Saccharomyces cerevisiae S288C: one gene and its partners. The protein of the gene in region 1 purifies or fractionates together with the protein of each later gene. This does not show direct contact. Each region holds a gene or a part of one and is shown on either strand. Other genes may lie near its edges. The genes, in order: TAF13, TAF1, TAF6 and TAF4.

Region 1 (4,016 bases):
GTAAAAATAACTTACCGCAGGAGACATTTTTTACTGATAACGATCGCTTCTAAAACTCGTTAGTACAGGCTCGTTGTGACTTAGAATCAAATAATAGATGGGTTAGGAGGCGCACGTACCTTCCTAAGCACAGAAGGGAGCTTAAGTTGCTGTTTCAGGCGGTGACTTAACAATACATCTTAACTATCCAATGCTGACAGCTGAGTATTGCAACACAACTATCAGAGGGAGGAGTTTGCCGTTACTAATGTAGCAGGGTTTTTGAATCTAAAAGAATAAATGTACCAGTTGAATCCTAAGATTTTACTTGGAAAAATATATAAATAAGAAAACAATGCATTCAAAATTGTGCCATTGTAATGACAAGTGTTTTTGTTCAGCACCAACGCAAACTCAAAACCCCTTTTATAGAGCAAACGCCTAATTAATAAATCAAAGGGACATATGTACTACGTATATCTGAATCAAGCCTACGTAAACGGGCCTGCCAAGTAGCTATATCATTTTTTTGTTTTCTTGAGGTTTTTAGGCCCCTGCTTCCTAATCTTTGTTGCCTTCGAATCTGTTGATTGTTTAGCGCTATTACGGCCCGCTGCTTCCTCATCATCATCCGTCACCTGCTGCTCATCCTCATCCTCTTCCATCTCGTCACCCTCTTCATCCTCTTCTCTGTACCTCTTTAATGAATTTTGATTGTCTGTCTCATTGAACTGCTTCTTAGCTTCCGTAATCAACTTATTAGTAGCTATCAGTTCTTCTGCTCTCCCAAGCTTTATCGGGTCTTTACGGAGGGCAAACTTGAAATCTTCCAATCGGAGCTTATTGCGCTGAGAATTCTGGGCTGTATGGAATGCGTTAGTACAAACATCCACCAAATATCCAGATACCAATTCATCCAAACACTGCACAGTAGCTTGTAGTGGCTGCGGCACATCGCCGTAAGCGTAAAGCAAGGAACTTACATCCTTGTTAAACAGATTCGTTTTTTTCAGCTTCCTAGACATATCTTATCCAGCTCACCCTCGCCTGCCGTTACCTTTTGGATTTCATGTTGCAGTTGTTGATGAACCTTCTTTGTTATCAATGACTCTTCGCCTGCGGTTTCCGCTAGAACTCAAAAATAAATGAAAAAAAAATACACCTTGCGAAAAGCATCTCTTTTAGATTTGATGCTTTAGTGGGCAATAGTTACCGATATCAGTACCTCGAAAATTTTAAGTTGCAGATATAATGGGAATTTCCAGCAAGAATGGCCCTAAAAAAATGGGAAGGGCAAAGACGTTTACTGGGTGTTGGACGTGCAGAGGAAGAAAAGTTAAGTGTGATCTTCGGCATCCCCACTGCCAACGATGTGAAAAGTCTAATTTGCCTTGTGGCGGTTATGATATCAAACTCCGGTGGTCTAAGCCTATGCAATTTGACCCGTACGGTGTCCCAATCCCACAAAATTCTCCTGCAACTACTACGAACTTATCAGGTAGTGTCGATGAACCACAATACCAACGACGGAACATCGATTTTGTGCGCTATGATGAAGAATACGTGTATCATGAAGATATGGATGATGAGCTAACAATGCTGCATACTCCCCCAATTGAGAAAATAAGCGATAACAAGACGTGGATCATAAAGAAATTTGGGGTGTTTAAAGGAACAGATAAGATCGACAAGCAGTACGCTCCAAGGAAGAAGCGCAATAGGAAAAGAGTTGCCAAAAGCTTGGAGAGCTCAGCTTCTATTTCGTTATCTTCTTTACCATCTTCTTCAACTATTTCCTTTCCAATTAGACATATTGAAGACAAGTTGAGAAATAAAGGGCATGTAAAGACAGGTATTCTCTCTGCTAATGATGGTGTTCCACCAACACCAAATCTTTTAGATTATGACTGGAACAATCTGAATATAACAGGTTACGAATGGATCTCGAGTGAACTCAGAGATGATGCATTATTGTCAGCGGTGACCTTACAGGGACATCACTTAGGACACACACAGCCACAAGAAATCTCATTAGAGGAAAACTCTAATGTCGTGAGTGGGGAAGAGCATGTGAATGCCAAAGAACATGGATGTGCCTTTGAGGCTGATAATCAAGGTTCATCAACTTTACCTAATAAAGCAGCCAGTGCCAATGATAAACTTTACCAGCAAAACTTGAAGTTACTCTTCCAGAAAAACTCTTCGAACAGTGAGGAACCAGACCCTCAAGCATTGATCGACGATGTGTTCGTCAATATTGAACCAAGATCTCTGCCCGCATCTGATCTGAATAAAATAACTCTAGCTCCTCCAAATGAAGAATCACGCATGCCTAAGTCCATGTTAGAACTCACATCCTATTCCAGTGACCTACCACCTGAATTGGTAGATATTATACCCAAAACAGACCTTACCGTACATGGTTTAGCGAGATTTCTTTTAAATCATTATTTTAATAATGTTGCAGATAAAATGACAGTGGTCGTGCTCGAAAAGAACCCATGGAAAACATTATACTTCCCCAGAGCCTTGATGGCATTAGGCGATTTAGCGGGTTTGGGACAATCCTCCAACTCGAGGAATGCGTTGTTGAATGCTCTTCTTGCTGTCTCTTGCTTCCACTTGCAAAGCAAGTACCCAAGGAACTACAAACTACAAAAATACTTTCTGGGCCTAGGTATCGAATTGAGAAATCAAGCCTCGAACTTTCTAAGATTATGTTTGAACACAAAATCAAGCATACCTGAGAAATATAAAGACGTACTAACTGCGATCTTATCTATGAACTCTATTGATGTTGTATGGGGGACGATGGCAGATTGCCAGGATCACTTGGCTCTTTGTGAAGACTTCGTTGAGTCAAGAATGAAACTAAGACCTAATATTTCTGAAAAGACAAAAACCTTACACAGGATTTTCTCGTTTCTGAAGTTAATTCAAGATAGCACTGCGTTGGATAAAGTCAGGGCAAAGGAAATTGTTATTTTACCAAGTGAAGAAGATGATAATTACAAACCATTAGATACATCTAACGCTACTACCAGTAGCAGTGAGCCAAGAGTTGACGTTGTGCAGGAAGGTTTATTTAGAGAGGCACTCAATGAAAATGACGGCAAAATACATATTGAATTCGTTAAGGAGCCTATCACAAACGTATCCGCTGACTCTACTCCATCTTCGACCACTCCTCCAATTTTTACCAACATAGCAACAGAAAGTTACTATAATAAATCTGATATATCTAAGCTAGTATCGAAGACTGATGAAAACATAATTGGTACAGATTCACTCTATGGATTGCCTAATTCATTAATATTACTATTTTCAGACTGTGTTAGGATAGTGAGACATAATGAATATTATAATTTAACTTACCTACCTGTACCCCGAAAATTTAATGAACTCTCGTTAAATTTCGAAAAAAGATTATTGAAATGGAAATCAGAATGGAACTTCCATCAAGAAAATTCGGAGGGAAAAAGCTTCATAAACTCAACGGCTGAAGCACTATATCACCATACAATGAGCTTTTATTTCAGTTTAATTATTTATTATTTTACAATGGCAAGAAGTTTAAATTGCCAATTTCTACAAAACTATGTTGCCAAAGTATTAGATCACTTAAATGCAATGGAAGAATTGGTGGATCAAAAAAAAGTGAAAATTGTCCCTTTAATTTGGCAAGGTTTCATGGCAGGATGTGCTTGCACAGATGAAAACAGACAGCAAGAGTTTAGAAGATGGGCAGCCAAATTAGCTGAAAGTGGAGTGGGCTCCTATTGGGGAGCCAGGCAAGTAATGTTGGAAGTTTGGAGGCGACGGAAAGAGGATGAGCCGGGCGATAATTGGTATTCTGTTTATAAAGATTGGGAAATGAATCTGATGCTATCATAAATATGTTATTTTTGGATTTTTCATGAATAGCCGGAGCCAGTAGCTGGAAGAGCTGTGTCTTGAAATAATTCTTTACAATACATATGCACATACCATAAAGTACAAATATATAAACGCCTTTAATTAGAATATTGGGCTTGAAG
Region 2 (9,901 bases), on another chromosome or scaffold:
ATGGCACCTGGTTCCAAGATGACGCTCTTTTCGCCCTACAATTCATTTATTAATGTTGGATTGTCCAAAATGGAGAAAATAAATAAATTGAAAGAGTTACAAAAGAAGAAGAAAATTACTATTAACGATTTGGTTCTATCCGAACAACAGTTAGTGGCAAACGATTACCCACTGGATTCTGGAGACACCAATTTTGATACAGACTGGGTACAAACTGTTGACTTTACCCATGGTGGCTCCCACATCTTTGCACTAGACTGTGAAATGTGTCTTTCCGAACAAGGTTTAGTTCTAACTAGGATTTCTCTAGTGAATTTTGACAATGAAGTTATCTATGAAGAGTTGGTGAAACCTGATGTCCCCATAGTGGACTATTTGACACGTTACAGTGGTATAACTGAAGAGAAACTAACTGTTGGTGCCAAGAAAACATTGCGAGAAGTACAAAAAGATTTACTAAAGATAATAAGTCGTTCAGATATTTTGATAGGACATTCGCTACAGAATGATTTGAAAGTCATGAAATTGAAACATCCATTGGTCGTGGATACAGCTATTATATACCATCATAAAGCTGGCGATCCTTTCAAGCCAAGTTTAAAATACTTGAGCGAAACCTTTCTGAATAAAAGCATTCAAAACGGAGAACACGATTCTGTCGAAGATGCAAGGGCTTGTCTTGAATTGACGAAATTAAAAATCTTAAATGGGTTAGCATTTGGGATAGGTATCAATACGGAGAACTTGTTCACCAAATTACATCGTTTTGAAGTGAAAACCGTTCTTCTCAACGATATGATTATTAAAAATCATACTGAGGACGATTCTAAGGGCCAGTTAATCCGTTGCGTCGAAGATGATGAGACATGGACCCATATTCACGAGAATCTAAATAAAGATGTCAAACTTATTGTGGGGAGAATCAAGAACTTAGAGAGGTCACGCAACTATAATAAAAAGCCACGGAAGGAAACTCCTTCGTTCGATGCGTCCATGGTTCTTCATGATATAGGGCAACATCTAACACAATTATACGAGAATGCTACACCAGGTACTATGATTTTGATCATGTCGGGTACAGGCGACACAAGACCATGGAACAATCTTTCAACTGAGTTAGAGTTTATTCAAGACAAAAAGGAAAGATTAGATAAAAGACGCGAAAGGGAACCTGAAATAGTAGAAGCCATAAAGTTAGCCCGGGGTGGTGTAGCATCCTTTACTGTAAAATAATTCTATGTGTATAAATATATAAATATATATATATATATATATATATATATATGCATAATACTTTTCCTTTTAATTCATTTTCACATCTTTACTCTCCTTTGTATTATCATTGTTCACTCCCGCAGATAACCCAGGAATGGCTTCACTATTACCGACAGCGCCTCTTATATCATCCACACTAAGAGCTTCATCTCCTTGATTAGCAGAAGGAGCACCGGTGGCCTTACTTGTATCACCCTTAGTGTGCGATGTCATCAACGACTTTTTCAGTATTCTTCTATCAAATTCTTTCAAATCTAATATATCCTCACAGCTCTCCCTCTGTAGATTTTTCTCATCTTCCTGGTTCCTCAACCATGTTTTATACCTGAATGGATATTTCTCCAAGTTATTCTCCATGTCCCCTAGCTGTTGTTGTGGTTGCTGCACATTGGAGCTCACCTTAGATGGTTGGTACCAATCATACCTCCATGATTCCTTACTCGTAGGGTTGCCATAGTAAGAAACCTTATTGGCCTTAGTAATGAGCGTCTGTGGGTCCATTTTCTCTATCTCTTGCTGACGTAGCTCTTTCTTTCCAACATTAGGTTTTATCGCCTTGTTCATTAATAAACTAGTCGATAATTTCATTTCGCGGCGATGGTTTTCAAATGTGCTTTTAAGAGAATAAATAGCATTTTAAACACAGAGAGAAAAAGAAGTACAACAGGAGTATAAGGCGATATGGTAAAGCAGCAGGGATCCGGCAAGACCAACTTGGCCAACGAAGATGAAGCATATGAAGCTATTTTTGGCGGAGAGTTTGGCTCTTTAGAAATCGGGTCATACATTGGCGGGGATGAAGGTGCCAATTCAAAGGACTATACGGAGCATTTGCCGGATGCTGTAGATTTTGAAGATGAAGATGAACTTGCTGATGACGATGACGATTTGCCAGAAGAATCTGATGCTAATTTGCATCCAGCTATGATGACTATGGGCGCGTATGATGATGTAAACGAGAACGGTGCCGTACTCGGTATCGACTCAAATAGTTTGAATATGCAACTGCCTGAAATTAATGGTGATTTGTCTCAACAGTTTATTTTGGAGGATGATGGGGGTACTCCCGCAACTAGCAATGCTTTGTTTATGGGAATGGATGCAAATGAAATTCATCTCGCCACTGAAACTGGAGTTCTTGATGGTAGTGGCGCAAATGAAATTGGGCATTCTCAACTTTCCATTGGTGGCGTTAATGGAAATGATATGTCGATAAATGGTGGATTTATCATGGAACCAGATATGTCAGATGGCAAGCATAAGAAAGCCACCAAATTAGACTTGATAAACCATGAGAAGTATCTTCTAAAAAAATACTTTCCTGATTTTGAAAAGGGTAAAATTTTAAAATGGAACAAGCTGATTTATAGAAGATCTGTTCCTTATCATTGGCACAGTGAAATATCTAGGGTAAAGAAACCGTTTATGCCTTTAAATTTGAAATTCAAGGTTCAACAGGATGATAAGAGGCTATTCAACTCAAGGACAATATCTTACGTCGCTCCGATTTATCAAGGGAAAAACAATTTACTTCAAAGTAACTCTTCTGCATCCCGAAGAGGTTTAATTCATGTTTCCATTGATGAACTTTTCCCTATCAAAGAGCAACAAAAAAAAAGAAAGATTATTCATGATGAAAAGACCATATCGGAAGACTTGCTTATTGCCACTGATGATTGGGACCAAGAAAAAATCATCAACCAAGGTACTTCATCAACAGCAACCTTGGCGGATTCGTCTATGACACCCAACTTAAAGTTCTCCGGCGGTTATAAATTGAAGAGCTTGATTGAGGATGTTGCTGAAGATTGGCAGTGGGATGAAGACATGATCATTGATGCAAAATTGAAAGAGTCTAAACATGCTGAATTAAATATGAATGACGAAAAACTGTTGCTGATGATTGAGAAAACAAATAATTTAGCGCAGCAAAAGCAACAACTGGATAGTAGTAACTTGATATTGCCCCTCAACGAAACTATTTTGCAACAAAAATTCAATTTATCTAATGATGATAAATATCAAATCTTGAAAAAAACCCATCAAACAAAAGTTCGTTCTACCATCTCGAACTTAAATATTCAGCATTCTCAACCTGCGATTAATTTACAATCTCCATTTTACAAAGTGGCTGTTCCTAGATACCAGTTGAGGCATTTCCACCGTGAAAACTTTGGTTCGCACATCAGACCAGGTACTAAAATTGTCTTCAGTAAGTTAAAAGCGCGTAAAAGGAAAAGAGATAAAGGTAAAGATGTCAAAGAATCATTTTCTACATCTCAAGATCTAACCATCGGGGATACTGCTCCTGTTTATTTAATGGAATATTCTGAACAAACACCGGTAGCTTTGTCTAAATTTGGTATGGCCAATAAATTAATTAATTATTATCGGAAAGCCAATGAACAAGATACTCTAAGGCCCAAATTGCCTGTTGGCGAAACTCACGTTTTGGGAGTTCAAGACAAATCACCATTTTGGAACTTTGGATTTGTTGAACCTGGTCATATCGTCCCCACATTATACAATAACATGATTAGAGCACCCGTTTTCAAACATGATATATCAGGAACAGATTTTCTTCTGACAAAAAGTTCCGGATTTGGTATAAGCAATCGATTTTACTTACGTAATATTAACCATCTTTTTACGGTTGGACAAACTTTTCCTGTCGAGGAGATTCCCGGACCTAATTCAAGAAAGGTGACATCAATGAAAGCTACAAGACTGAAAATGATTATTTATAGAATTCTAAACCATAATCACAGCAAGGCAATTTCTATTGATCCCATTGCAAAGCACTTTCCCGACCAAGATTATGGACAAAACAGACAAAAAGTGAAGGAGTTCATGAAATATCAAAGAGATGGTCCTGAAAAAGGTCTGTGGAGGCTTAAAGATGATGAAAAATTGTTAGACAATGAAGCAGTGAAAAGTTTAATTACGCCAGAGCAGATCAGCCAAGTTGAATCAATGAGTCAGGGCTTACAATTCCAAGAAGATAATGAAGCATATAATTTTGATTCTAAGCTAAAATCTCTAGAAGAAAACTTGTTACCATGGAACATTACAAAAAATTTTATTAATTCAACACAAATGCGAGCTATGATACAAATACATGGTGTTGGTGACCCAACGGGCTGTGGTGAAGGTTTTTCTTTCTTGAAAACTTCAATGAAAGGTGGTTTTGTTAAGTCTGGTTCTCCTTCCAGTAATAACAATAGTTCAAACAAAAAAGGCACTAACACGCATAGCTACAATGTGGCTCAACAGCAAAAAGCTTACGACGAAGAAATTGCGAAGACCTGGTATACACATACAAAATCGTTGAGCATAAGCAATCCTTTTGAGGAAATGACCAATCCTGATGAGATTAATCAGACCAACAAGCATGTTAAGACGGATAGAGATGATAAGAAAATTCTGAAGATTGTTAGAAAGAAAAGAGATGAAAATGGTATAATTCAAAGGCAGACAATTTTCATAAGAGATCCTAGGGTCATTCAAGGATATATAAAAATCAAAGAACAGGATAAAGAAGATGTTAACAAATTGTTAGAGGAGGACACTTCAAAGATAAATAACTTGGAAGAACTTGAGAAACAGAAAAAACTGTTGCAACTAGAATTAGCTAATTTGGAAAAATCACAGCAACGTAGAGCAGCAAGGCAAAATTCGAAGAGAAATGGTGGTGCCACGAGAACAGAAAACTCTGTGGATAATGGTAGCGACCTTGCCGGTGTAACTGACGGGAAAGCAGCCAGGAATAAAGGTAAGAACACTACAAGGAGATGTGCTACATGCGGACAAATCGGGCACATTAGAACAAATAAATCTTGTCCAATGTATAGCAGTAAAGATAACCCTGCTTCACCAAAGTAGATTCAGTATAACGATGTATTGATCGAATAAAACTTTTGTAAAGGTTTTGTATAATGTAACAATAAAGAAATGTACACTATGTTTCTAAACACTGGCAGTGATCAGATTGATAATTTATTGAGTCATATCCTTAAACGATGGACGTGGTGTGTGAATGTGCACTTTTGCAGTAAGATGAAAAGTGCATATTATTTGAGTTCCATTAATATAGCCCAACTCACTGATTAAACACAATAATTGTTGTCTTTGTGCTCGAGTATTTAAAGCTTGTATTTTTCCAGTCTGATTGGAAATCACAGAGGTTAAAACATAAAGGACAATAGCAGAAAAGGTTCCCTAATATGCATTTTTCATACTGGTTGCTCTTTTCCTTTACAAAAGCAAATTCTTACTCAAAATTTAATCTTTTTCCCTATAGTAACCTGTTTGTCTTGATAAATATAATATGATTTATGTAGTTTTATTACTATAATTATATCAAAATTTTAATTTGTGTCTATTTTTTCCTCAACTAAGTTACCTTTTTTCATTTATATGCATTTGTGACGCACTCAAAAGTGTGATGCTGTCGTCAATTTTATAATGTTAAGAATATTAAAGCAAAAGTTTCCTAAAGTAATATCTGAAGTGCTCTAAAATCATAGTTTATCAAAAAATGCAACATTTCGAAAGTTCAGATAAGATAGAAAAGGATGATGATACATCAAGAATTAAATTACGCTCTTCTTCTTTGGCCGCTCCAATCCTCGAGGCTGTTCAAGAAGCCCAGCCTTTTGAAGAAGCCACTTTCTCTAACTTACAGAAGATACATCCGTTAACAGAAAACTCAACTTGCAATGGTTATGTTATTTACGATAAAGATGGAAATTTGAAATCCATGAAGGATACATTTGGTAGGAATATAAAAACACCTGATATTTCAAATCCTACAAGAGCAAGAAATGAAAGGCCATTGGATACAATACGTGGATTTGAATACTCCATAACAAAAGATCCCCGCTGGTTGCAAGAGCTAGAAACATCTAAGTTGGGATTTAAACCTAGACCTGGATTTGCCGTCATTAATCAAGACTCACAGGCTTCAATAAATTTATCTCAACTGGAAGAAAAAGTTATGGAAAGCCAAAAAAAAAAGGAGAAAAGACACATATCACGGCTTTCTCGGTTACTCTGCAGATGAATATAAAGATAAGTACGCTAAGATTATAAAAAGTGCTTGAAGCTCAAAAATATGTATTCCTTTAATTTCTGCGGTACCCTATGCCGGAGCACTAAGAAAAACACATTCAAAAAAATTTTCATACTCATCTCATCTCTACAATTAAACAATACATAAAACAAATATCGTGACTTAGTTATTTTACTTATATCATTCAATAAACCTAATCAATCAATGGCTAAATTACAGAGGAAGAGAAGCAAGGCTCTTGGGTCATCTCTAGAGATGTCCCAGATAATGGATGCAGGAACAAACAAAATTAAAAGAAGAATAAGAGATTTAGAGAGGTTATTAAAAAAGAAGAAAGATATACTTCCATCCACAGTAATAATAGAAAAGGAAAGAAATTTGCAAGCTTTACGGTTGGAATTGCAGAATAATGAACTCAAGAATAAGATTAAAGCCAACGCTAAAAAATATCATATGGTGAGATTCTTTGAAAAAAAAAAAGCATTGAGAAAATATAACAGATTATTGAAGAAAATAAAAGAATCTGGCGCAGATGATAAAGATTTACAACAAAAGTTGAGAGCCACTAAAATTGAATTATGTTACGTGATAAATTTTCCCAAAACTGAAAAGTATATTGCACTATATCCGAATGATACACCATCTACAGACCCAAAGGGCGTAGAATTGACAAATCTTAGAAGAGAACAATTTCTTAAATTAGTAGCTGAAAGAATGGATGCGAACACCTTAAACGTATCTTTCGAAGAGATATTGAAGGGAAAGAAATTGGATGAAGATTCCATCGGATTAACATTATCACCTGATAAAGATCATGAGGATGGATCACAAGTATCACCTACACAGGATAGAAAAGAATTGGATCAAGTTGTGGGAGAAGATGAAAAGGATGACTTTTTTGAGTAAAAAAATTCTAAATGCGTTATGTAAGAAAATATATACGAAGATGTATACTAGATAGATTTCCACTGTTATCTTTCACAAAATAATTGTTGTTTTAATTGTGTCTCACTAAGAGATTAGTTTATGGACCATATCATAACGTAATCCTAAAGCGTCATTAATAAGGGAAAATTGCAATTCTTCGCCACGAATTTCTTCGGGAATAAATAGATCACAATGTATTATGACCTCTTTATTCATTTGTTTTGGTTGACACCTTTTAATCATCAGCAGTTCATCGCCTTTGTGTCCAATTAAAAACCATAGTTCTTTTTGTATCTTAGGGAATTTATCACAATATACTTCAAACCCATTATTATGCTTACTAGAAAGGTGCTTGCTATAAAATGTTAACACCTCGTTATTTTCCTGTTCTTCAAATTTCATGCCTTCTAAAACCGGTAATCTTTGGCAGACACTGACGAAACGTTTTTTCGTATCTTCGCTTTCTGTCATTCCAAAAGTTAGTTGATCAAAAACATTTAATAATTTCTTATATCCAAACCTTCCTATTTCCTCCAAGGTTAACAGCTTTTTCTTCTTTTGCTGCGGCGTCATTTCAATGAACCCCTGCTCGCTAAAAGTGTAATCTTTGATTCTTCTCAGTTGTAATCCTGGAAGTACACTAACAGGATCGTCTTCATACCAATACCCTTGCTTTATGCATTGCATCATCTTTATCATGGTCAATACCGTATGAAAGTAACCCAATTCACTGGCGACATCAATATAAGCCTGTAGAATACGTAGAGATTGATCCAAAACTGATACGGTATCCTGGATATAATCTGCAATCGGTAAATCTACACGGCTTAAATGAGCTTGAAGTAATAAAAATGTTTTTACATGTGGATCCCACATCGGTAATTCGAATTCATCGGTAAAAGTGCTTTCAACGGAGTACCTCGATTGCTGCGACATTTCTTCATTCATGATAATTTCACCACCTCTTACAGGCAATTCATTATACTCAACAGCCAACGATAACCATCGTAATACCTCTTGAAAAGTCGCATGATCATGTATCTGTTTCAATAATTGGCGTATCGTTAAATGTGAAATATAGTAGTATGAGGATATACTTAAGAATGGCGTAGCAACAATATCATCTCCATGTAATAAAACACATTGTGATTCTCGCAGATTTTCTAATGTGCTATCTATCAAAGAACTCAAATGTTCACTGACTCCTGCTGTACTTGTATCATCTTCAATGCCATAATATGTCGGGTTATGATGCGCTCTACGAAACAAAAATGTCCAACTCAAAAAATCTAACGCTTCTTGCTTATTAGTTATGCTACCTGACGTTATTTCTGCACCTAAATGATCATCTAATACCTTGTGCAAGGAGGACTCGACAGGAAAACCAACGTTTAGGAAATGTTTATAAAACATTTTTTTGGACTCTTTTGTATAAACGATAGCAGTACCTGTAGTGTCATAAGCCGGTCTACCAGCTCTCCCCATCATTTGCAAGATATCTGTTAAATCCATATCTCTATATCCTTCAATTTTTGCATCAAAAAATTGTGTACCTTTGATGATAACCAAGTGAGCTGGCAAATTGACACCCCACGCTAGGGTTGATGTAGCGATCAGAATCTGAATTTTGTTTTTTTGAAACAACTGATGAGAAATAGAACGATCTTTTTGCACTAGACCTGCATGATGCAATCCAATACCGAACTGGAGTGATAACTTTAAAGTGTCGTCAGTGACCTGTGATAAGTAATATTGCAGTTCCTCCTCATCGTCTATATTCAAAAACCTACGTGGATTATCTTCCATTCCACATAAGTGGATCAAGTCTAAAGCCGTTAGTCTAGTTTGTCTACGCGATGCAACAAATATTAATGCTGGTTTATCAGGTGAATGTTGTTTAATGGCCATAAACACAGGTTTGTTCATTGTTTTCATCAGAGGACAGAATGCCAAATTATCTGGAAATCCATCAATGTACATTTTCAATGGAACCGGACGGACGCTTGACGGGAAGTTATACAGTCCGTGGTCCTTAACTCCCAACCAGCCAGCCATGTCGTAGGCGTTTGAAACAGCAGTTGACATACCTAGCAGTCTGACCGGTTGCTTGGTTTGAGAGGAAATATAATTCATACGACTAACAATCATTTCTAAGATAGGACCACGATCACTAGCCAACAAATGAATTTCATCCATGATAATTAAAGATACATCTTGAACAAACTTACGAGTTTGCCAATTACGGGAAATACCATCAAACTTTTCTGGAGTTGTAATAACAATGGTGGCATCATGCACATCTTTAGGATCTGGCAAAGAATCACCGGTTAACTCTACAACTTTATCTCCGGTCACTGGTGTTATTTTCTTTCTCCAGTCATCAACCCTTTCACGTACTAATGCTTTCATTGGTGCGATATAAACAATCTTTTTCCCAGGAAATGTTTTGAAGGCATGCCATATAGCCAATTCAGCCACAATCGTTTTACCAGAACCTGTAGGCGAGCCAACAAACGCATTCTCATTGGTATTGTAAAGTGTATAAAATGTCATAGTTTGCATGGGATTGAAATACTTGAAAGGATAAATTGACTCAATTAAAGGATTCTGGAGGGCTGATGTAGGTAG
Region 3 (7,803 bases), on another chromosome or scaffold:
TTAGACGTAATCCAGATTCTATTCGTGGTTTGATCGATGGCTCATTGAAACCACGGATCAACACGCAACGTGTACAATTGGACAAATCGTACCAAGTTCAACAGCATTTGAAGCAGTTAATAGAATCTGGAAAATTTAAAAGAATAGATTTAAGGTGCGTTGAAGATCTGCTGTCTGCCAAATCCATGCAGCCAAATAAGTTTGCGGAGAACTTCTTTACGGCAAATTGGATTGAAATTTTAGAGGCATTATGGGCAAAGGGACAGGGCCGGGGTCATAAAGAGGCTAGAGAATTGATCATTATCAGTTTATTTTCTGTTTCTGCTGATCGTTTACTAAAAATAACTAAAGAATTAGGCATAAGCAATTTTGAAACTTTGGCGTTATATCCTCTTTTAGGAACAATGCTCATAAATGAAGGAGTCCACAAAAGGCTTCCTGATTTGAAGAGCAAGTTACTATTTCTGAATTTAGGGGGGTTGTCAATGGACGAAGGAGACCATATGAGCTATCCAACATCATCAGGTACTGAAGTTAATGAAGAACAACTGTCCGCGTTGATGGAATTGTTCCCCCAGTTTTCTAAATATCAATTATCTCAAACGTTGCTTGCCTATGATAATAACATTGAATTAGTAACGAATAAAATATTTGAGGATCCTACCATTATCGAAGCATTCTCCAGAGAACCTGCGGAGGAAGAAGTAGAGCCGGTGTCAGATGGTGATAATGCATCCTTTACTGAAGAACTGAGTATATTGGATAGAGGAGATAGCTCAAAAAATAAAGAGCTAGACAAAAAGATTATCTCGGAGGGTGTTCCGGATGAATTAAGAAATAAAACTTTGACAAGAGCATTGAAACTTTTATACGAGGCTGATGAAGATGAAAGGGATGACACTTATGATGAAGCCGATGTGAACCGGTCCGATCCTTCGAAAAGAATTGGACTTCAAGAAGACGAAGAAAGCTATGATACAAAAGATGATTCTAATGAAGTGCGACAAGATCATAACTATCATATTGTTGAAGCTTACTTGTGGAATCTATTGAAAGAGGATCCGAAATTATTTGAGAGATCAAAAAGAGGTACAAAAGTCAGGAAAACTATGAAAGAAATGACTTCATGGTCGGATGAAAAAATCGAAGGTTGGTGTCGGATGTTAGAAAGATCTCCTACCCGAGCAAGACTTTTAGAAAAGAAGTTTATGTTCAAAGGAAATAGCAAAACAGGGAAAACGTCTTATGTTCATAATCGTGATAGCCAAAATGATGGAAATGTCGTCAAAGAACAAGCCAAACAAAAAAAATCTGAAAATATTAAGAAACATGAACCTCAATCTACTGAACAGAAGAAAAGACAGCATGCTAAGAATGAAAAAAGGAAAGGGGCTAGAGCTAACCATAACCGTAAGAAGGGGCACGATAAAAAATTGGCTCGTGCGGGAAATAACGCTATTTGATAAAATGCATCAGCATACAAGATAGACAAGCGTATGTAAGTTTACTAGACGGTATACAATTATGTAACGTATTATAAGTTATTCAGCGTCGCGTTCAGGAAGTGCTTTTTTTAATAATTTTTCCCGCCGACTAGTAAAACTTTGCCTTCAATTAGCGTCCTTTACTATTAAATTTTGCTTTTCTTACTGGCTTTAGAAGCAGCTACCTTTCCCTCCAATTTATTCCAAAGCTCATCTGCGTCTTCTTCAAGTTCTGTAACCTTCCTTTTTTGCTTCCCTTTGGCAGCTTTCGCACTTGGACTTAGTGGCATCTCGATTTCAACGTCATCCAGCATAACAATAAAATTTATACGGGACCCAACATAAACCTTCACCAGCATTTTGTTAGTTTTTATATCGAAGATCCGAACATACCTATCTAAACCACCTTGTAAAAGATATTTGCCGTCATGTACATGAATATAGGTTGACGAACCAGTGATATCATCTCTACCCACCTTGCCCAACATTCTTCCATTACCATCGAATTTAAAAACATTCTTTTTGTAGTCAGTAGTAATCACATTCAGTTCATTAAAGGTTTCAGATTGAAAATTCCCCAACGAAGAGACAACATTTTCTCCCTTGGCATCAAAAACTTCCATCTGAGATAATGGTTCACGGTTAGGTAATAAATCTATCTGAGCGAACGGTTTTCTGCCATGTTGTGTGCTGTATTTGGTGAGGTGGGACCAACGGGTTATGGCTGCAAACTGGTAGTTCAGCTTACCCTTTTCAGTTTTACCAGGGGAGGGCTCCAAAAATCTTAGGGCCATGGGCCATACTGGGACTCTCATATCCAACCTGTCGTTTTTAACATTCTTGGCTTCCCAAATTTGCTTTAAAGATTGGAAACTCGAATCTATTTCCACTAATTTTATTAAATTCTCCTCCCCTCCGTATGCAAATATATATTTATCAGTATCGGTATCTTCTAGATCATATAACTGAAGAAATTCTACTGGTGCTTTCAGTCCAAGGGATGCTAGTTTTATTAACTTTTTATCTTCTCCTTTTTTTATAATATGTAATAATCCCGATTTGGTAGCAGCTACGAATGTGTTATTCGACGAATCCTTTTTTATGGGACATAATGTGACAAAACCATCCACCAACTTGGTTCTTTTAACAGATTTACTTGAAAGTGATTCCAATTTGGCATCATCAAAAAGGTCTGAAACTGAGCTGGTTATCTCAAACTCGGATATGTCAAATTTGGGTAGATCATCGGAAAGGCTCTTTTCATTTTTGCTTTCTCCTTTGGGATCGACCTGGAGAGCTTCATTTTCTTTAAGGTGTTTCGAAATCTTTACAAGTTCGACGACCCCTGAATTCCTTGCTAAGATGGCTTCATCTTCGGATATCACCCACATCCTGTCAACGTAAGCTTTCAATCCTTCGGCTAGATGAGGTGCCACATGAAAAGGCTGCAGTGCTGATTGTACGGAAGTGTCAGTCCCGATGTTACACAAAACTTCCTTTATGGATCCACTATCCACACAGCTGACTAGTAACCTCATTTTACGATCGAAGCTGGGCCTATTTATGGTTAAATTTTCTCTGTATTATGTTCATTGAAGTGAGGCTTCGAGATTGGGCATCGCTTTACAAAATTTTTCAGCTTTATTTTATTACCAAAAAAATACCCGGAAACCATCAATAACAAACACCGATTCAAGTAGCAGCAAAAGTAGTTCATGAGCGAAAACAATAGATTGGCTTTAAAAAGGAAGCAAAGGACGCCTCAGTGTAGTTGATAGCCTGTTAAAATGTCTACACAGCAGCAATCTTACACAATTTGGTCTCCACAAGATACTGTTAAAGATGTCGCTGAGTCGCTTGGGTTGGAAAATATCAACGATGACGTGTTGAAAGCACTTGCTATGGACGTTGAATACCGTATTCTAGAGATTATTGAACAGGCAGTCAAGTTTAAAAGACACTCTAAAAGAGATGTTTTAACTACAGACGATGTATCGAAGGCCCTGCGTGTTCTGAATGTGGAACCTTTATATGGATATTATGATGGCTCTGAAGTTAATAAAGCTGTATCATTTAGTAAGGTTAACACAAGTGGAGGACAGTCGGTTTACTACCTGGATGAGGAAGAAGTAGATTTTGATAGATTAATAAATGAGCCATTACCGCAAGTGCCTCGTCTACCAACTTTTACTACACATTGGCTAGCAGTTGAAGGGGTTCAACCTGCCATAATCCAAAATCCAAATTTGAATGATATAAGGGTATCCCAACCACCATTTATTAGAGGTGCTATTGTCACTGCTTTGAATGATAACAGCCTCCAAACACCTGTAACGTCGACGACAGCAAGTGCTTCTGTGACGGATACAGGCGCCTCTCAACACCTGTCTAATGTTAAACCAGGACAGAATACTGAAGTCAAACCTTTAGTGAAACACGTTTTATCCAAAGAATTACAGATTTATTTCAATAAGGTCATTTCAACCTTGACAGCGAAGAGTCAAGCTGATGAAGCTGCACAGCATATGAAACAAGCAGCTTTGACTTCACTACGAACTGATAGTGGCCTGCACCAACTGGTTCCATATTTTATTCAATTTATTGCCGAACAAATCACACAAAATCTTTCCGATTTACAATTGCTAACAACAATTTTGGAAATGATTTACTCTTTACTAAGCAATACTTCTATTTTCCTGGACCCTTATATTCATTCGTTAATGCCTTCCATTTTAACCTTGCTATTAGCAAAAAAACTTGGTGGATCACCAAAAGATGATTCGCCGCAAGAAATTCATGAATTTTTAGAAAGAACGAATGCACTACGTGATTTTGCCGCATCTTTGTTGGACTATGTATTGAAAAAATTTCCTCAAGCATACAAATCCCTGAAGCCAAGAGTAACTAGGACACTGCTAAAGACATTTTTGGACATAAACCGTGTTTTTGGGACTTACTATGGGTGCTTAAAGGGTGTATCGGTACTAGAAGGTGAATCCATCAGATTCTTCTTAGGAAACCTAAATAATTGGGCGCGCTTGGTATTCAATGAAAGCGGAATAACTCTAGACAATATAGAGGAACATTTGAACGATGACTCCAATCCAACTAGGACCAAATTTACTAAAGAAGAAACTCAAATCTTGGTTGATACTGTAATTAGTGCATTGTTAGTTCTAAAAAAGGATTTACCAGATTTGTACGAGGGTAAAGGTGAAAAAGTTACGGATGAGGATAAGGAAAAATTGCTAGAGAGGTGTGGTGTCACTATTGGATTTCACATTTTGAAAAGAGACGACGCAAAAGAATTAATTAGTGCGATATTTTTTGGCGAATAGTGAGAATCGGTTTATACTAATAGTACAACGGTAATGTTATATAACAGTTTTTACATACGCCATTGTATGTATATATATATATATGCATGATGAGTTATTTAATTGTATACTCAAAGGCCCCCGAAGTGCGAAATTGTTGTAGCTTAGTTTTATTTTATTCCCTTTTCGTCCAAGAAAAGCTACAAAGATGGAGTTGGGTCAACTACTTGCCAGCGAAGGTGGTCTCGCAGTTTCTTATTCTATGTGGATTCTGGAGCAAATAAACGTCTTCTTACTCTCCTTTTTGAGCTATTTTCCGGGGGCTTATTAGTGGGAGTAGAGGTAATATTGGAGGTATTTTTTCTGCCTTCATGCGTATCATCATCCTTGAAATTTAGCGGCGATTCAATGATGCTTTGAAGTTGCGCCTTTTTATTAGGTGTCACAGTTCTTTTTTTCACAGCAGGAGTGGCTTGAACTTGTACGTTTTCCTCAGAGTCTACACGTTCATGTAGGCGTATCGTTTCATTGATATCTTTACGTTTCCCAACTCTGCGAAAAGAGTTATTCATAGTTTTGTATGCATTAATAGTTGAGTGCGAGAAAGGCGTTTTGAGTGTGATAGTTGATGAATTCGGTACTCTTGTTGTGCTTAAGTCAGAGACAGAAAACTGCCGTTTTTGTAAATGATTCATCGTTAGATCAGACTTCGTCCTTCCCAATTGTGAAGGGCGCTTTAAGCTTCTAGTTTCACTTTCGAGAAATTCATTCAAGTTAGAGTTCGTTCTAGAATTCAAAAGTTCAGGGGTGGGCGAAGCTATAGATTTTCTGCTGAACAAATTAGCGTCCACCCTTCTCAATGCGGGTGAAGATGGGACGGAATTAATGATTGAAGAGCGAGAGGCACGTTGACTCGTGGATAACCTGTTATACGTTTCTACAGTATTAGGTGACGATACATTTGTGCTATCGTTGACCTTTTTCAGGGCTCTCTTTGGTCTCATGCTTGGTCCCTTGAGCTTTTGAATTATAAATTCAACGGCGTGTGGTACCTTTTTGTTGAAATATGGAATAAGAACATAATTTATGAACCCAACCAATGAGGCTTCTTTGCTTTTGTCTAGGATATTTTTTTTATGCTCTTGTATTGTTCCATTTGATGCTTCTATGGCATCTGGGTTGGGCGTTTCACTTGATAGTAGAATGTCCAAGATGCATGCTCTATCTAAGTACAAGTCTAACTGTTCACAATAATCCAAAGATGTTGTTATTCTCTCGATTCCTTTGTCTTTTTCGCTGGTTTTTTTCTTCGATCTTCGACGAACTAATCCCTTTTTTGTCAAATTAAGTGATCTTTTCTTCAATTTTAATTTATACTTTTTCTCAAAATCTCTAAAATTCCAATCTAAATCGTTCAATCCTATTATCTCTAATAGCAATAATATTTGTAGCTTTATTTCGCGGGATTTTAATACAACACATAAATCAGCAATGGTTGAGCTGTTTTTGTTTTCATCTTGGATAACAAATTTTGTGAGACAGTTCTTCCTTTTTTCATCTGCTATGGGACTAGAAAAGGGCTCTAATAAAAGCCTGTTATCATGTCTATCTTTGAATTGTACAATTGAGAGAAGAAATTTTTGCAGCATGGCTTGATAGGCTATTTTGTAACTGTCACTTCCGTACTTGGTTCGGCAGGTATTTTTGAGCCTTACTAAATTTGACTTGACGAAATATGCGAGAGGCGTATGTATGGAAAAAAGAGCATCATAATACTTACTTTCTATGTACTCTTTAGGGTCTGAATAGTAGTCATTAATTTTTGATTCGCCTTTCATATCTGGGGGATTCATATCCAGTTTAAGGTCTTTGTCCTTCTCAAGCTTACACGAGCCCTTGGGTTCTTCTGACCATAAATGAAGAAGCTCTTTAAATTTCAATTCGTCCCATGTTTTTAACGTTTCACGCTTAGCTCTTTCTCTTTCAACTGTCGTTACAACTTCCGTACGCCTTTCTGGTAAGCTGTAACCATTGAAATAATTGTACGGCCACTTAACCCAAAATCCTGGCCCATATTCCTCTAGTAGAAAATACTCTTTTCTTGATTTCATGCAGATGTGTTTCAATTGACGTCGATTCTTCTGTTGCAGTAATTGGAGAATGTTACTGGGCACGTCCTCGGATTTAATAATAAGTGGATGATCTAAGCTCAAGTCAAGGCCTTTTGTTGCTTCTTTTACCGATGCTATGACTTCCCATGTTTCCATTATGAGAGGTCAGATCGTTCCTACCTATACGATCTTAACCCTTCAGCAGTTATGAATGAGGCTTCTGCCTGTTTTAACAGTGCCCATCACTTTTTTTTATTTTTCTTAAATGGACCATGTTGTACACCAAGATAGCCGATATTTCAAGGTCGCGTATAATATAACATTTTGCCTAGGATTTTTGTCACCTAGAAATATATATACAGGGAAATCTAAGACATCGAATTATGTGATGAGTAAATAATTTAAAATTTGTAAACTTTGTAAATTCTTTATTAGTAAAATATTATATACCTAATAGTGAGGGACATTTAAGCAGATGAAGAGCATGTTTATTACGCTAAAGATACCTTCACCTAAGACCAACCCCGAACTGAATACAATCATTTTTGTTTTCGCATTTAAGTCACCCCTATGATTCTTCAACCAAAAATGCGAAGCCCACCCGCCGATGAATCTTGCAATTGTAAAACTGGGAGAATTAAATATACCAACACCGACTGCTACACCAGACGGAATATATAATATCCACCCGTATCCGTAATCTCTATAAGTGTTTCTGATTAATGATAAAACGGCAAATATGACTCCGAGAATCATGGAGCACTCCAAGGCCTTATCAGGGAGCCCTTTACCAGTTACTAGTCTTGCACAATCTATCCACACTACTGCTGTCGGTATCCTGAATTGCTCACTCGGAATTGAATAAACTTTATTGTAGCACAAATACATGAA
Region 4 (7,651 bases), 200 kb from region 1:
AAAAAAGAGGATATTAATAAATGATCCAATCAAAATCACGAAGAAATTGGTTAGTGATAAAACTTTTAGAACTATTGAAAAAAATATTTCTTCACTGCAGAACACACCTGTTATCGAAACTCCCTGCGACGTTCATTCACACTTGCAACCAAGGGATAGAATATTCTTATTAGGATTTTTCATGTTATCGTGTCTTTGGTGGAACCTCGAACCTCAGGAATCTAAACCTACCATTGACCATTAGAAATATAATTCTAGCACTGTAATTAATTGAACTGTATATTCTTTCATAATTTATTAAGACACTTTTACTTTTCTCTACGCTCTCAATAAGTTATTGTTGATCCAGATCATCTCGATATTGCCGTCATTTTCGGTTAAGGTAGGCGCTTTTACGAAACACATGCCAGAAAAAAAAGTGAGGAAGGAAGGTACAATGAAAACAGGGTGAACGCCACTTCTTTTCACCCAAGTTGTAAGAGAAATAATAGTAAAAGCAATCGAATTTGGATTCTATAAAACACCACTGAGGCGAAAAAAAAAGTAATGGACAATTACGAAGGCAGTGATCCTTGGAATACCAGTTCTAATGCATGGACTAAGGATGATGATCACGTCGTTTCTACCACCAATAGTGAACCCAGCCTCAACGGAATCTCTGGTGAGTTTAACACCTTGAACTTTTCAACACCTCTGGACACAAATGAGGAGGATACTGGTTTTTTACCGACCAACGATGTGCTTGAAGAAAGTATCTGGGATGATAGTAGAAATCCTCTTGGTGCAACTGGCATGAGCCAAACTCCCAATATAGCGGCCAATGAGACAGTTATAGATAAGAATGATGCTAGAGATCAGAATATAGAAGAATCTGAAGCCGACTTACTTGATTGGACTAACAACGTTAGAAAAACATACAGACCTCTAGATGCCGACATCATCATCATTGAAGAGATACCTGAAAGAGAGGGTTTACTTTTCAAGCACGCAAACTATTTAGTGAAACATCTCATTGCTCTTCCAAGTACCTCGCCTTCTGAAGAACGTACTGTCGTAAGAAGATACTCTGATTTCTTATGGTTAAGAGAAATTCTGCTGAAAAGATACCCTTTTAGAATGATCCCTGAGCTACCTCCCAAAAGAATTGGATCCCAAAACGCAGACCAGCTTTTTTTGAAGAAAAGAAGAATAGGGTTATCTAGATTCATTAATTTGGTAATGAAACACCCTAAATTAAGTAATGATGATTTAGTGTTAACATTTTTAACCGTACGCACTGACTTAACAAGTTGGAGAAAGCAAGCAACCTATGACACTTCAAACGAATTCGCTGATAAAAAGATATCACAAGAATTTATGAAAATGTGGAAAAAAGAGTTTGCAGAACAATGGAACCAGGCTGCATCTTGTATCGATACCTCGATGGAATTATGGTATAGAATCACGCTTCTCTTGGAAAGGCATGAAAAAAGAATTATGCAAATGGTACACGAAAGAAATTTTTTTGAGACACTAGTGGATAACTTTAGCGAAGTGACTCCAAAACTATATCCGGTACAACAAAATGATACCATATTGGACATTAATAACAATTTGAGTATAATTAAAAAACACCTAGAAACTACGAGTAGTATCTGCAAACAAGAAACAGAAGAAATATCGGGAACGTTATCGCCAAAATTCAAAATTTTCACGGACATCTTACTTTCTTTGAGAAGTTTATTTGAGAGATACAAAATTATGGCTGCAAATAACGTAGTTGAATTGCAAAGACATGTCGAATTGAACAAAGAGAAATTGGAATCGATGAAAGGAAAACCAGATGTCAGTGGAGCAGAGTACGACAGGATAAAAAAAATCATACAGAAGGATAGAAGAAGCATAATAGAGCAATCAAACAGAGCTTGGTTGATAAGACAATGTATTTTGGAAGAGTTTACAATCTTTCAGGAAACCCAATTTTTAATAACACGTGCCTTCCAGGATTGGGCAAAATTGAACTCCAACCATGCCGGTCTCAAACTGAATGAGTGGGAAAAGCTCGTCACAAGCATCATGGATATGCCGATTTCTCGTGAATAAATTTTACGGAGTGAAGACTAACCACTTAGTCTGCCAAAACATTATTGAAGGATATCCAACAGATGTAATTGACGTACTAAACAGAGAAATAATTAGGTAAATAGAGTAAAGATATGTACCACTATAAATTGTTATTTATTTGTTTTTCAATTTTAAATACAGTGTATGAAGCCTAATTCGGATATTATAGGTTCCCATATTTATTAGAAGGTAACAAATCTTTCGATAATTTGGATTAGATAGCCTTATAATATGCCGGACAAACGACGCCCGCTAAAAATGTGTATTCTCCAGTATTCAATATTCGTCATAAATGATCTTAATTTGAAAAAGTGAATGAACTGAACATCGATAAGTCGAATGTGGTCCGTGTAATAGCTCAAATGGGAAAGTTTTTCTAATCAGCATTCTGTATAACCTCACCTGCACGTAATCTAAAGTGCTTTTATCGATTGGTAGTGCACATATTGTCTTTCGGCATCATATCACATAATGGCAAATTCGCCGAAAAAGCCATCTGATGGCACTGGAGTATCAGCGTCAGACACGCCTAAATATCAACATACCGTCCCAGAAACGAAACCAGCATTTAATTTGTCACCAGGTAAAGCTAGTGAGCTATCACATAGCCTTCCGTCGCCTAGCCAGATAAAATCAACCGCACATGTATCTTCAACTCACAATGATGCGGCAGGTAATACGGATGATTCTGTTCTTCCTAAAAATGTATCACCCACAACTAATTTGAGAGTTGAAAGTAATGGAGATACAAACAATATGTTCTCTAGCCCTGCTGGACTAGCTCTACCAAAAAAGGATGATAAAAAAAAAAACAAGGGTACGAGTAAAGCAGATTCTAAAGATGGCAAAGCATCCAACTCCTCAGGACAGAATGCACAACAACAATCAGACCCAAATAAAATGCAAGATGTCCTTTTTTCCGCAGGTATCGATGTTAGGGAGGAGGAGGCTCTTCTAAATTCATCTATTAATGCCTCAAAATCCCAAGTTCAAACAAATAACGTTAAGATCCCCAACCATTTACCATTCCTTCACCCGGAACAAGTTTCCAATTATATGAGGAAAGTCGGAAAAGAGCAAAACTTCAACCTGACCCCTACAAAGAATCCTGAAATTTTGGACATGATGTCAAGTGCCTGCGAAAACTATATGAGAGATATCCTAACAAATGCCATTGTCATCTCCCGACATAGAAGAAAAGCAGTCAAGATAAATTCTGGTAGAAGAAGTGAAGTTTCTGCGGCTTTAAGAGCCATTGCACTAATTCAAAAAAAAGAAGAAGAAAGGCGTGTGAAAAAAAGAATTGCGTTGGGACTCGAGAAGGAAGATTATGAAAATAAGATTGATTCCGAAGAGACGTTACACAGAGCATCGAACGTTACGGCTGGCCTTAGAGCAGGTAGTAAAAAACAGTATGGTTGGCTAACTTCATCAGTAAATAAGCCGACGTCCTTGGGAGCAAAATCTTCAGGCAAAGTCGCCTCCGACATCACGGCTAGAGGAGAAAGTGGGCTAAAGTTTAGAGAAGCTAGAGAGGAGCCTGGTATAGTAATGAGGGATTTACTCTTTGCTCTCGAAAATAGGCGCAACAGCGTTCAGACTATTATTTCAAAGGGTTATGCCAAGATCAGAGATTAATTGCTCATCTCTTATACTGTCTATAATATTTAAAGGTATAGTGTTTCAAATAAACTAGGATATAAAAAAAACAAGATTGACTAACATAAAGAAGGCCGGTTGGTGTCGCTTAGTCAAGTCATCGCCAAGCTATTGAGGACCATTCAACCTTTTTGCTTTGTTCATTTTAACTTTATAATAAGGAAGATATATCAATCCTTGAAGTTAGGCATCCTTCTACCAAAAATAGCGGAAAGAGGAGTGATAATCGGGAAAAAAATTTTCATATTAATACACATTTTTATACATTTACTTGTCATTATCCTTTTGGGTGAAAGGATGTATTATGTATTGTTTCTCAGAAGGGCTTCTAAATTAGTCCAAATAATGCTGTTATGGCACCTAACAAACTCATTAGAGTATTAGTGTTCGCATAGGAAATAGCCGCAGCATTCGCTTTGTTTGCCGTAGAGGAAGAAGAACGAGCTGTAGAGGAAGAAATTGAAGAGGATGAAGAATTTGAGTTTAAAGTTGTATTTGACGAAGAGTTTGAGTTAGAAGTGACATTTGATGAAGTCGAGGTTGTTGAGTTTGATGTAGTATTTCCGGAGGTTGATGAACCTAAGAGAGCCGTTATTGGAATACCGTCAGTAGCCTCAGAGATTGCAGAGGCAATAGCACCGCTTTGATACGTACTATTTCCCGATAGTTCAGGATTAGCTGAGGTACTTAGTGTGCCGTTCCAGCAGTAATCCGCAAAACATTTGGTACATTCAGGGGGCAAGGTGGCATTTAGGCTTTCTTGCTTACGTCTAATGATGGCACAACCTATGCAACCTAAAAAGTTAGAGTCATCCGTAAAGTTGCCCATTGTAGCAGCTTCAAAACCATTTCTGATCATTCCAAGACGTTCTGTAACATTGTAGTTCATCTTCAAAGTACTTTGGTTACCATTGAATGAATGTTTTGTGTTTGGGATATATACAACTAAAGGTGGAATATACTCCAAGTCCGTCAAATTTTTTGCATCACAACCAAAAAACGTTGGCTTATTAGTTAAGCCCAAGTTAAGGAAGGTGTTAACGTCTGGAACATATGGGAAAGCCATTCCTTTACCTTGCTTAGAATACTGGCGCTCATAAGTGTTCGTCATGCACACACCACTTGGCCATGATTCATCAGTATTGTCGGATATATCCAATGCGAACACCACATCCAAGTCACGTTCCTTCTTGATTAGTGGAACCAACGGCAAATTTTGGCCGTCCTCACCACCATCAACTAAAAACAAATCATCGGCATCAACAATACTGGAAGTGTAATTGCGGTCAACAAATTCTGTATCCTTGAATGGATTTGCAGCGTAAATTGCAATATCATCGTCATCTTGGGATAGGTTGTTAACGTACTTGTTGGCAAAACTATTAATCATTTTATAATAGGTCGAAGTGGAAGCTTCCAGGGAAAATTCGTTGAATAAACTGGCGGATGTGGCAATTACAAATCCAGCATTATCGTAACCAGAAACGCATTGATCCTTGTTGACCGGTTTACCATTTGTAACGTTGGTACCTAGATATTTCACATCCGTAAAAGCGTTCAAAGAAGGATCCCAAGAACCCATTTCAAATGGAGTGAACTCGAAAAGAGTGGCATTCAAGTTTATCACGGTGGTACCTGGGTATCTACCATCTGCAACAGTAATTGGTAAAGGCATTTCACCGTTTTTGAACACATCAACATCTCTCAAAGAGGACCAAGTCAAAGCGGAGCCAGCATCTGGCAAGCTTGGAAAGAAGTTGTAAGAAAGTGCACGGGCCCACAAATCCGACAAAGATATATTGAAGCCTGCATCAGACTTAGCCTGCACTTCTTGTACAATGGACTCCCATCTTTCAATTGTGTAGGTCAAATTAGAGCCACCAGGGTTCACAATGGATTTCGTGATATTCCAGATGGAATCGCTCTCACTCATATGGTCTACAATTTCCTGTACAGAGGTCCAATTGTTCCATGCCAAAGTACCAGTCAACCAGTTACCACCGGACAAACCCGATAGATACGTGGAACTTTGTAGTAAACCACCAAGACCATGCTCGTTAGCACCATCAGTACGATTGTCCATAGCAGCAATCATACCAGCACCACCCAACATGGCACGATAACCACCACCAGAGCATGCAATACCAATTTTGGGTACATTGGAAGAGTTACTACTGAAAAGAGTGGATAGCAAAGAAGTGTCACTGAAGTTAGAAGTAGCTCTGCTTAAGAAGGAATGTAAAGCTTCTTTAGTGTACGCATCTCTTTTCTTTAACCAATCAGTTTCAGCGGTAGATAAGCCAGACGCGTTTCTAACTAAAGAGGTATCATCACTGGGACAAGGAATTATTGATGGAGCATAACCATCACCAGTAGTGGACGACGAATCTGCAGCGAGCGAAAGTCCAGAAATTAGCGAGCTAGCCTGTAATATGTTCCGTAATTGCATCTGCGTAAGAAGTGTTACTTTACCAGCGCGAGTGAATTTTAACTCACTTCTAACCCTTGATAAGATTTGAAGGCACACTAAGGAAAAACAAGCTAAAAGACATTTCTAACGCCTTGTAAAGATAACTAATTGTGCTCATATATAAGGTATATTCTACTCCACATGAGATACGAAAAGAAGAAGATTCTCAGACTATTTAACTCTTTGTCCTTTTTTTACCTTTTTTTTGATTTTTTTTTCACTTTCTTCTGTTGGTAAACAATGCCAAGGTGGAGAATATGCGGAAGAAATGTCCGCAAGGTAAAAAATTGTTGAAAAAGGCGACGCGTCCCTTTGTAGGAGCTTTTCGAAGGCGTATACGAGCCAAGAAAAACCTTATTTCCCAGTTTGGCCAGACCGGCTGCATTGGGTGCGACGGTAAATTCTCTATAGGCATCACCATTGAAAAGTATGTCCTTAATTTAGTCGTGAGAATCATCATTGTGTTCGCCCTTTGTCGTATAACCGAATTGAGTGTCTTTGATTCATCTCTAAGGTGTAAAAGCAGAAAAACCAGATTATCTAAAGCTGCAAGAAAGAAAGAAACTGATCATTTTCATGAACAGTGCAGATATGTGGAAGTGAAATTTGGCCTGCAGATGGCATATCTGCAATCCTAGCTTTTTCCTTCTGCACTTTAAACCTATCTATATATCTTCGATGAAAGTACTGCATGAACATATCTGTATAGATAGATATATGTAGGGAAGACACCCGGTATGTAAATGTTAATGCTCGTAAGATTTCGAGTTTGTAAAAATAAGATGCGGTATGCACTTGAGATCTCGTAAACTATTTGTATGTTGATATTTTTGCGCTTTTCTCACTCTCGTATTCTTTTAGAAAAGAAATAGAAACGAAGAAAGAGCCTAAATTAGACCGAAGACGGCACTAATGACACTTAAGACACCAATAAAAGTGTTAGTGTTTAAGTTAGAATAATTCACCAAAGCATTGCCCGCATTTTTCTTATGAGTGGAAGACCCAGAAGCAGAGGCAGAGGCGGAAGCAGAGGCAGAGGCAGAGGCAGAGGCAGCAGCGGCGGAGGCAGACAAGGAAGCAGAAGAAGAATAATCATCATTTCCTACACCTGAGACTGACCTGCTGTCAATAGTACCGTTCCAGCAGTAGTTGGTAAAACACTGGCTGCATTCAGAGGGCAATGTAGCATTCAAGTTTTGTTGCTTACGTCTGATAATGGCGCAACCAACACAGCCCAAGAAATCAGAATCATCAGTAAAATTACCCATTGTGGCAGCTTCAAACCCATTCTTAATCATACCAAGACGTTCTGAATCGGAGTATGACATCTTAAAAGTACTTTGGTTACCATTAAATGAATGTCTTGAATTTGGAATGTAAACAATTAATGGTGGAATGTACTCCAAGTCTGTCAAATTT

The links.
Region 2: the proteins of TAF13 (region 1) and TAF1 purify together in Saccharomyces cerevisiae (affinity purification with mass spectrometry; 10 studies listed by BioGRID, with this or other methods). This does not show direct contact.
Region 3: the proteins of TAF13 (region 1) and TAF6 purify together in Saccharomyces cerevisiae (affinity purification with mass spectrometry; 7 studies listed by BioGRID, with this or other methods). This does not show direct contact.
Region 4: the proteins of TAF13 (region 1) and TAF4 purify together in Saccharomyces cerevisiae (affinity purification with mass spectrometry; 7 studies listed by BioGRID, with this or other methods). This does not show direct contact.

What each region holds. Positions count from the first base shown.
Region 1 is NC_001145.3:74,255-78,270, reverse strand, and holds TAF13 (Taf13p), read right to left. Parts: upstream 1,005-4,016; coding exon 501-1,004; downstream 1-500. Other genes in the region: ARG81 (Arg81p), read left to right, coding at 1,231-3,873. UniProt on the Saccharomyces cerevisiae protein: Functions as a component of the DNA-binding general transcription factor complex TFIID. Binding of TFIID to a promoter (with or without TATA element) is the initial step in pre-initiation complex (PIC) formation.
Region 2 is NC_001139.9:1,035,151-1,045,051, reverse strand, and holds TAF1 (histone acetyltransferase), read left to right. Parts: upstream 1-1,956; coding exon 1,957-5,157; downstream 5,158-9,901. Other genes in the region: RNH70 (Rnh70p), read left to right, coding at 1-1,233; RTT102 (Rtt102p), read right to left, coding at 1,303-1,776; YGR273C (uncharacterized protein), read left to right, coding at 5,813-6,337; EFG1 (Efg1p), read left to right, coding at 6,551-7,252; SLH1 (RNA helicase), read right to left, coding at 7,358-9,901. UniProt on the Saccharomyces cerevisiae protein: Functions as a component of the DNA-binding general transcription factor complex TFIID. Binding of TFIID to a promoter (with or without TATA element) is the initial step in pre-initiation complex (PIC) formation.
Region 3 is NC_001139.9:295,197-302,999, reverse strand, and holds TAF6 (TATA-binding protein-associated factor TAF6), read left to right. Parts: upstream 1-3,271; coding exon 3,272-4,822; downstream 4,823-7,803. Other genes in the region: CUE3 (Cue3p), read left to right, coding at 1-1,463; ribosome biosynthesis protein NSA1, read right to left, coding at 1,631-3,022; SLD3 (Sld3p), read right to left, coding at 5,062-7,068; YGL114W (uncharacterized protein), read right to left, coding at 7,363-7,803.
Region 4 is NC_001145.3:273,471-281,121, forward strand, and holds TAF4 (Taf4p), read left to right. Parts: upstream 1-2,574; coding exon 2,575-3,741; downstream 3,742-7,651. Other genes in the region: AIM34 (Aim34p), read left to right, coding at 1-244; MVP1 (Mvp1p), read left to right, coding at 547-2,082; PLB2 (lysophospholipase), read right to left, coding at 4,091-6,211; YMR007W (uncharacterized protein), read left to right, coding at 6,490-6,870; PLB1 (lysophospholipase), read right to left, coding at 7,120-7,651. UniProt on the Saccharomyces cerevisiae protein: Functions as a component of the DNA-binding general transcription factor complex TFIID. Binding of TFIID to a promoter (with or without TATA element) is the initial step in pre-initiation complex (PIC) formation.